2 linked regions of the Arabidopsis thaliana genome follow. The protein of the gene in region 2 interacts with the protein of the main gene of each other region in a biochemical or structural test. Each region holds a gene or a part of one and is shown on either strand. Other genes may lie near its edges.

The links.
Region 1: the proteins of AT5G16220 (region 2) and QKY form a complex in vitro, tested with the Arabidopsis thaliana proteins (one study listed by BioGRID).

What each region holds. Positions count from the first base shown.
Region 1 is NC_003070.9:28,073,142-28,076,897, reverse strand, and holds the start of QKY (C2 calcium/lipid-binding plant phosphoribosyltransferase family protein), read right to left. Parts: upstream 1,972-3,756; 5' UTR 1,726-1,971; coding exon 1-1,725. Other genes in the region: EDS16 (ADC synthase superfamily protein), read right to left, coding at 2,936-3,241, 3,369-3,466, 3,558-3,642, 3,735-3,756. UniProt on the Arabidopsis thaliana protein: May be involved in Ca 2(+)-dependent signaling and membrane trafficking. Plays a role in fruit dehiscence. Components of the machinery involved in organ development mediated by the receptor-like kinase STRUBBELIG (SUB).
Region 2 is NC_003076.8:5,298,600-5,302,355, forward strand, and holds the start of AT5G16220 (Octicosapeptide/Phox/Bem1p family protein), read right to left. Parts: upstream 2,044-3,756; 5' UTR 1,981-2,043; coding exon 1,163-1,980; intron 618-1,162; coding exon 5-617; 3' UTR 1-4. UniProt on the Arabidopsis thaliana protein: Collaboratively with SUB and QKY, regulates cell growth anisotropy during gynoecium development, thus linking together cell-cell communication and cellular growth.

The DNA.
Region 1 (3,756 bases), on a different chromosome or scaffold from region 2:
AGTCGTCCGGTCTTCCACCATCAGAACCAAGCAATCTTCCAACGGCTCTCCAGCAACAAAGATCATATCCTCATGCCAATGAAACGAACCACTGTGGTTATTCATTGAGCCTCTTCTTGTACGCGCCGACTGAAACCCTAATTGAGCTTTCACACGAATCTCAGGCGCAGTCAACGGCGGGAGATTAGGAGCTATGTGTAAATCCTGTGCCTCAAGAACCGTCACTCTCAAGTACCAAAGTTTCGGCGATTGATACACCTTAGAACGCGTGTGAGCTACATGCGGAGCATCAGAGCTCCAAGCCTCCGGAAATGCCTCATCTACCTGAGTACCAATCCAAACAGAGAGCTGAATGTCACCGGAAATTCTCCCAGAGTTCTGATCCGCGCCGGAGCCTTCGAGCCGATACCACTGAGGAGCAAGCGGACTATCCGGCGGGTCACGAACCGGAACCTCAGAGAGATCAAAACAAACTCCTCCGAGAAAACTCTCCGACGAAGCATCCCAAGCAGAGATCTCAAGAGTCGCACCAGTTACAGCGGAATCAGACCGGTTATGACCAAGAGCAAAAACCTGATTCCACTCCGGTGAATCAACCGATTCGCCGGGCCGGTTAACGGCCGGTTTAGACCTGACGAAATGGTTCGACGTCCGTACCTTAACATACGCGCTCTCGTTAGGTGGTAAGCCACGCGCCTTCACAATCCGAACGAAGAGATACTGCATTGGCTCAACAAGATTGTAAGGATGATGAGTCTTCTTCTCCATCGTCGTCTCTCCTCCTCCAGTTTTGCTATTGATAACCCTAGGTGAATAATCTCCATTCGGTGGTCTCTTCGTAACCCTAATTCTATCTCCGCCGGGAGGTCTTCCTACTTGCATCTTCCTCACTTCCGGTGGATAATAATGTACTTCCCCAGCCGATGGAGGTGGCGGCGGAGACGGTGGCCGTTGAGGATGGTTATCATTTCGGTGAGGATGGTTATCATTTGGACCTTGCATTACATGCTGCGGTGGTGATTCTTCAACAATAACCACCGGAGGTTGCTGATGTGTCTCTGTATAGCGCTGACTCTGAGCCGATTCGAAAACCCTACCTTCTTCAACCACAACTACATTAGGTTTCTCCGGTGGTATATTCATCATCTGCTGCGGCGGAGGATGAAATTGTTGCTGGTGTTGTTGTTCATCGGCTTCTTGTTGCGGCGGATGAAATTGTTGCTGTTGCTGTTGTTGTTGCTGTCCTCCACCTCCACCCGCCGTGTCTTCGTCGGCGGCTTCGTCGTAATAGTAGATTTTGAGTCCAATCTCGCCGCGAATCCAGCTGAACACACTCTTCTTCTCCAAAGGGAAATACACAAGACCTTCTTCACCTCTTCGCGAGAACTGGCTTCCATAGATCTTAACCCTACCGAGAAAATGATTCTTCCGGCCACCTCCGTTACCAAATCTTTTATCGTTATAAACCTCGATATCGAGCTCGTCGTAATCCATGTTTTTGGGATCGGAGACGGCGAAATCAAGCATCTCGTTCCAAATAGGGTTTAGGTCACGGAACTTAGTGGAGGTTCGTTTCTTCTGAGCATCGAAATCGACAACGACGTAAGCGCTAGAGCTTCCTTGACCATCTTTAGGGAGAATATTACGAGCTTCAACAACTTCGACAACGAGCTTACGCTGGATCCTCGACGGCGGAGGATCCGAGTGAAACGGCGTCGTGTTCATCGTAGTGGTAGTCTTCTCATTTCTCGAGAATGTCTTCTTCTCTCATTAAGATAGTGAGAGAGAGAAGGTTTTGTTGTTTGTGACAGAGATTACGGTAATCGCGGAAGAGAGATAATAGAAAGTTTTTTTTTCGAGGTCTTGCTTTTTTTATTTGAATATATTCCTCTTTAAAGCTTTATTTTATTTACATGTTTTTAGTACTAATGAAATCTTAATTTCCATTAATAAACTAAAAACAAATCCTATGTACTATACACTATTTATTCATTTCATTAGTTTTAATTAAAACTTACTAAATATTAGCTAAAACTGTTTCTGACACGAGTGTAGATAATTAGGTTCATATTTGTGTAGTTTGTGACAAAGTAAATCTAGGTAAAACGTAATGAGGCCAAAGCATTGTGATTAGTAAAATAAAAGAGATGAAATGGGTTGGTTAATTAGAGTGTTAAATATGATTAATAAACCTAATTGAGGTGGAGGGTAAAAAGGGAAAGGAATATATGGTGTTAGAGTGGGGATAATGGGAAATCTGATTCCATTCTCTATCGCCAAGCCTTCGTTTGATTCTTCACTTTTTACATGCGCTCCATTTTTTTAATTGTACTATCTCATTTTATTTGTGTTTTTGTTGACGTGTTGATTCTTCATTTTATAATATGGTACTTTTCAATGTTCCTATAAACCACCACACATGAAAAGATATGGCGAGTAAGGTTGTTGGATGGTATTTATAGTTATATAATAACAAAGTAGTTTCTTAATCTAACGAAAGAAGATGATCTGAAACGCTAACTTATAAAGGAATATTAATATTTACCATTTGCATAAAAGCAGATTCCGTAAACCTGTCCTACACGGCTACATCATCGTTGAAAGGCCCAAGCATTCTACGGATTTTTGCTTAATCGAGATAATAAGCATAGATTACTTCACTCTGAAGATGGGTCACTTCTTGCTAAATGAAAATTGAAAAAATAAATTCAATTTGATTCGATTGTCATGTCAGTTAAATTCAGTTCAGTTTTAGATCCATATTGAATATATCTGTCTTTGAAGAAAAACACTATAGAAGCTCATTAACAATCATAACAGCTAGGCCTATGAACATTCATGATAGGCCTGCCCTAGTTACAACCCGAAAAGGCTCGGCCCATTAACAAATTAAAGCATTTCTTTTTTAATTTACAAGAGAGACAACATTGCTTTCTTATTGTGAGAACCCCTTATCCCCCATACAAACAAAACAATCAAATACAAATGTTACTCTTTCTTCAATTAATCGCCTGTAGAGATGTTGTTGCTTCATATTCAATTGACTTGGTGAACTGCAAAAACAACAACAAAAGAGAGAATAAAAATTAGGATTTTGGTAACAGAGAACCATGATGTCACTAAACATTTTCTGGACAAAAGCTCGTACCTGAGATATCTTAAGATCAAGCTCATTCCACTCTGAAGATGGGTCACTTCCAGCTACTATCCCTGTCCCCGCATAGATCAATGCCCCAAGACCCTGTAAATCAAAATACAGTTCAGCATTTTTTTACAAGTTGTAGCAAAAACCGTAATGATCGATTTTGCTATAACAATTAGTGTTAAAGTGTGTTTTTTAAAGGGAGAAAGAGATCAAATAAGCTCACCTTTTCGACTAGAGCTGATCTGATCCCGACTGCAAATTCACTCTCCTCGCCACCAAAAAATCCAATAGGTCCCGCATACATTCCTCTATCGAATGATTCTAGAAGAAGCAAAATGTTTGAGTCAGCATAATTCTTAATCTCTACATCTATAGTTACTAGAAGATAGTTGAACCAAGGTAGATATTTTACCTATCTCCTTAATCAAAAGCCTTGCTTCTTCTGCTGGAAGCCCACAAACAGCTGGAGTTGGATGCAGAGCAGCCAATATTTTATACTATAGACAGATAGAAAGAAAAAGGGTTAAAGCTAATTCGAAGAAATGAAGAGCTTGGAAATGTAAAAACTATTCCAATACTATTATCTCACCTCATCATCTTCCTTCGTAAGT
Region 2 (3,756 bases):
TGGTTTAATACTGAGACGGTAATGTGGGAGCTGGAGGCTGAGATTTGTAAATTTGAGCATGAGCTATATCGTTGTCGTCATCGACATCGGTATTATAGATGAAAGCATCTCTTGAAGTAGTATTAAGAGTAGCTTCACTTGATGTCTGTACCGATGAATCAACGGGTTTGGATAGAGGATAAACCTGTGAGGAAAACTCTGGCGCTAGAGGGCTGCTGGTGCGGACCACCGGGGAATCAACTTGGTGATAGTTTAAAACGGTGCTCGGTTTCACAGGCAGTGCTTGAACGTGCCTCGAACTGTACTGCTCGACTGGAATGTAATAGATTGGGTATGGTTGTGGCGGACGCTGATAATAGACGTGGTTTGTGTGATGGTATGCTGTGGCAGGCAATGTCATAGGTGAGTTTCCGGTAATGTAAGGTTGTCCAGTGTAAATGACTTGGATATGTTGTTGTTGAGCTTGGTTCATAAATGGTGGATACCCGGAAATTGGGACTGGAACTGGTCTGTTTAGCTCAGCCACATACAAGTTTGAAGACGGTTTGTTCTCAAAAGCATGTGAGTGTGATGGTAGCTCGTGGGAAGGTATTGGGGTGACTGCAGAATTGTCGTTGCTGTTCGTAGAGTAAGAACAAAAGGAAAAATGGTTAACAGTTACAAAAAGGCTTTCCAACTAAACAAGGTTTAGAGGATTGGCACCTTCTCTACCAATACATATAATTCGAAGATTACATTCGTAGCTGAATACCAAATGAGGAACAACATATCCCCGAGACTCGGAGCACATTGATCCGAATTGAGAATTACCATAACACAATGGCAAACGAGACAAACTCCTGATTGCCTAAGCCTATGAACTCATTCACAGATCATATACATGAAGACGAGAACCTAATTCGACTACAGGATCATTCCAAGAATTCAGTTTCTGTTTCCAATCATTACTTCAAGAGATAGCTTATATATTACCACATTTAAACTCGTTCTGCAACACTACCAAATTCATTTGTGTCACTGGCTAAACAATTCAAAAACTCATAGCACATTGCATTTCCTAGACAACAAATTGTGTACATAAGTTTTAGAACGCTTACACCTAAAACTATTCGATAAAGCAATCAAATGGTGAAATCAAACAGTTAAGAGCATAGAAGAATACCTTGTCACTGATTCTATTGGCGCAAATTTGACTTGCGAGTTCGCTATGTTGTCCTCGCCGGAGCTTTTTATCGGAGGTAAATTGCTCGACGAAACCGAGGATGATGTCGAGCCAAAGGATGAATTAGTCTCTAGCATCATCGACTCCTGTCCACAAATCCCGCCGTTACCATCTCCACTTCCGCTAGTTCCGCTATTAGTTCGTCTAGTCTGCATCATCTCCACGCTCTTCAAAGCGTCTACGAACCACATCTCCGTCTTAGGGTGCTGAAGTACCGGCTGAGTCAATTCTTCACGAATAGGCTTATTAGACTCTTCGATTCCAAGCCAATCGATATCGGTCTCCACTTTACACTGATCCGAATCTCCCTGACTCGCACCAGCTTCATTCGATTGTTGTGATTTCAATGGGAAAAGAAACAATCGGATACGCGATTGGGGAATCGAGGACTCGGAGGAGAGATAACCGTGTTCTTCCATCATGATCTGAACATCCTCATCCGCCTCGACGGAGATAAGCGAATCTAGTTCCTGATCAGGAAGCTGATATTTAACTTTGAAAGGATAAGAGATTTTGAGCGTAACCGTAAGGTGGCTAACAAGAGAAGCGAAGCTCGTTTCCGCGGAAGAAGGAATGGCGACGATTCGAGTATCTCCGCCTACATAACGCGGCGATTTCGTCTGCGGAGGTGAAACTATACTACCGCCATACCTACACATCACCCGTAACTTTCCATTTCTTTCATTCTTCTTCCATCTCGGTGTGACAACCTTCGCGCCTTCCGCTACGGTGGCGAAAGCGGAGGAGACGGTGGTCATGGAGGTGCGATTTTGGTTTTTTTTTACTTCTGAGTTTCCTACTTTTTTGGGCAGACGCCGTTTATAAGCGGCGAGTTTTTTTTTAATCGAATCGAAGTTGTTTAGCTTTACTGTGACGGTAACGTTATCATTAACTGAATGTATCAGCATAGTAATTTGGGCCCATGTACTGATATTCCCGAGCGCGTTACTTTTAAAACGGGTTTAGAACCGGGTCGGGTGAATGATAATCCAGACCGGGTTTAACCCGGTAGAGTAATTCTGCTTTATTCGATTTTTTAGTTTCTTCAGTGTCGAGAAATGTTAATTAGTTCAATCATTGTTGTTTCTTTAGTGTATTATAGATTTGATACAATTTTGGTTTGATATATAGTGCTGATTTGAGGTGGACTTTATATTTATTTCGGTTATATTCGGTTTAGGTGTTACGGTAAGAATTCGATTAGAAATTTGCGAGTGATAAGAAGATGTAAAAACTAAATTATTCAGAAATAGAAATCTCATGAATTTTTTCAGGGTTAGTGGTACTAAATTTAATATTTATAATAACAATAAAAAAAAATGATACTAAAGTATCAATACTAACTTCTTCTTTCTCACTAACTTACTAATTAGAGATTATCATATTTATTTAATTAGTTGTCTAAATGAACAGGTTAGAATATTGATTCGGTTTGGATTGAACAAAAGCTTAAAAGCGAACGGTCTGTGCTGAGTTGGGTTCGTGTTGGATGAAATTAAGTTTGTTTGGTTCGGTTTGGTTAATAAAATCAACACTCGTAAATCGTAATAATGCCGTTTGCTGATATGAGAAAAAAAAAACAAATTTGGTTAATAAGATACTCGTTTGGCTCATTCTATATAACGTGGATCGATTTGAGGTATCATCCATAAATACATTTACCGAAGTAAGATCAAAACCAAGCTTCTTTTTATTTGTGTTTTATGCCCCAAAACCGACGAAACTGTATGTTCAAATCTCTGAGTTACTGTTTTTATAATGAAAATAAACATTAATACTTACTTAGTTACTTTTTACCCAAACAAAGCTAATTGAAAAAAATAACAAAAGTTTAATTGTAAAAATCATATTGCGGAATTCATTTAGCTTATGCACGTTTAGGATACTCATGATTTTTTTTTCTTCATAATTTTCATTATGATCCCGGAAACAGAAGTTACGTATGGGAAGATAAAAGCAATATTGTATACTTCAACGTTTTTTCTATAACCAGTATATTTTGACAAATTCCAAACTAGTTTTCAAAACCTATGATTAAAAGATTCATCACAATATTGGAAACCAAAGATTCGAATTTTTCTTCAGTAAACGTTTCAGATACTTTCACTTTAGCGTTTTCTATACTAATATACTTATTTCTTTTGAAATTTCTTTCGTAGACACATACCCTCTTGAAGTCTTGATTGGATTGGAGTAGGTTTCTGGTTAAAGTATAGTTGGAAAAAGAAAAGAAAAAATATGTAACGCTTATACGTTAGAGGACCAAAGATAATATAACGTACGTCAGAGAATCATAATTAACGTAACACTAAAAATCATCAGTTACCTAAAAAGAAGACCAAAATTGTTTTTATGTTAACATGATCAATAGTGTTTAAGATAACAGAATGTCATGGAAATTAATCTAAAATACCTTTCTCTCCCGATTCGATTTTCAAGTGCAAGAAATCTTGTGATAGTATTACCTAGTTGGTTCTTAGTAGAATAGAAGAAATAATATCAAGTGACGAAATTTGAGAGATATATACTATATA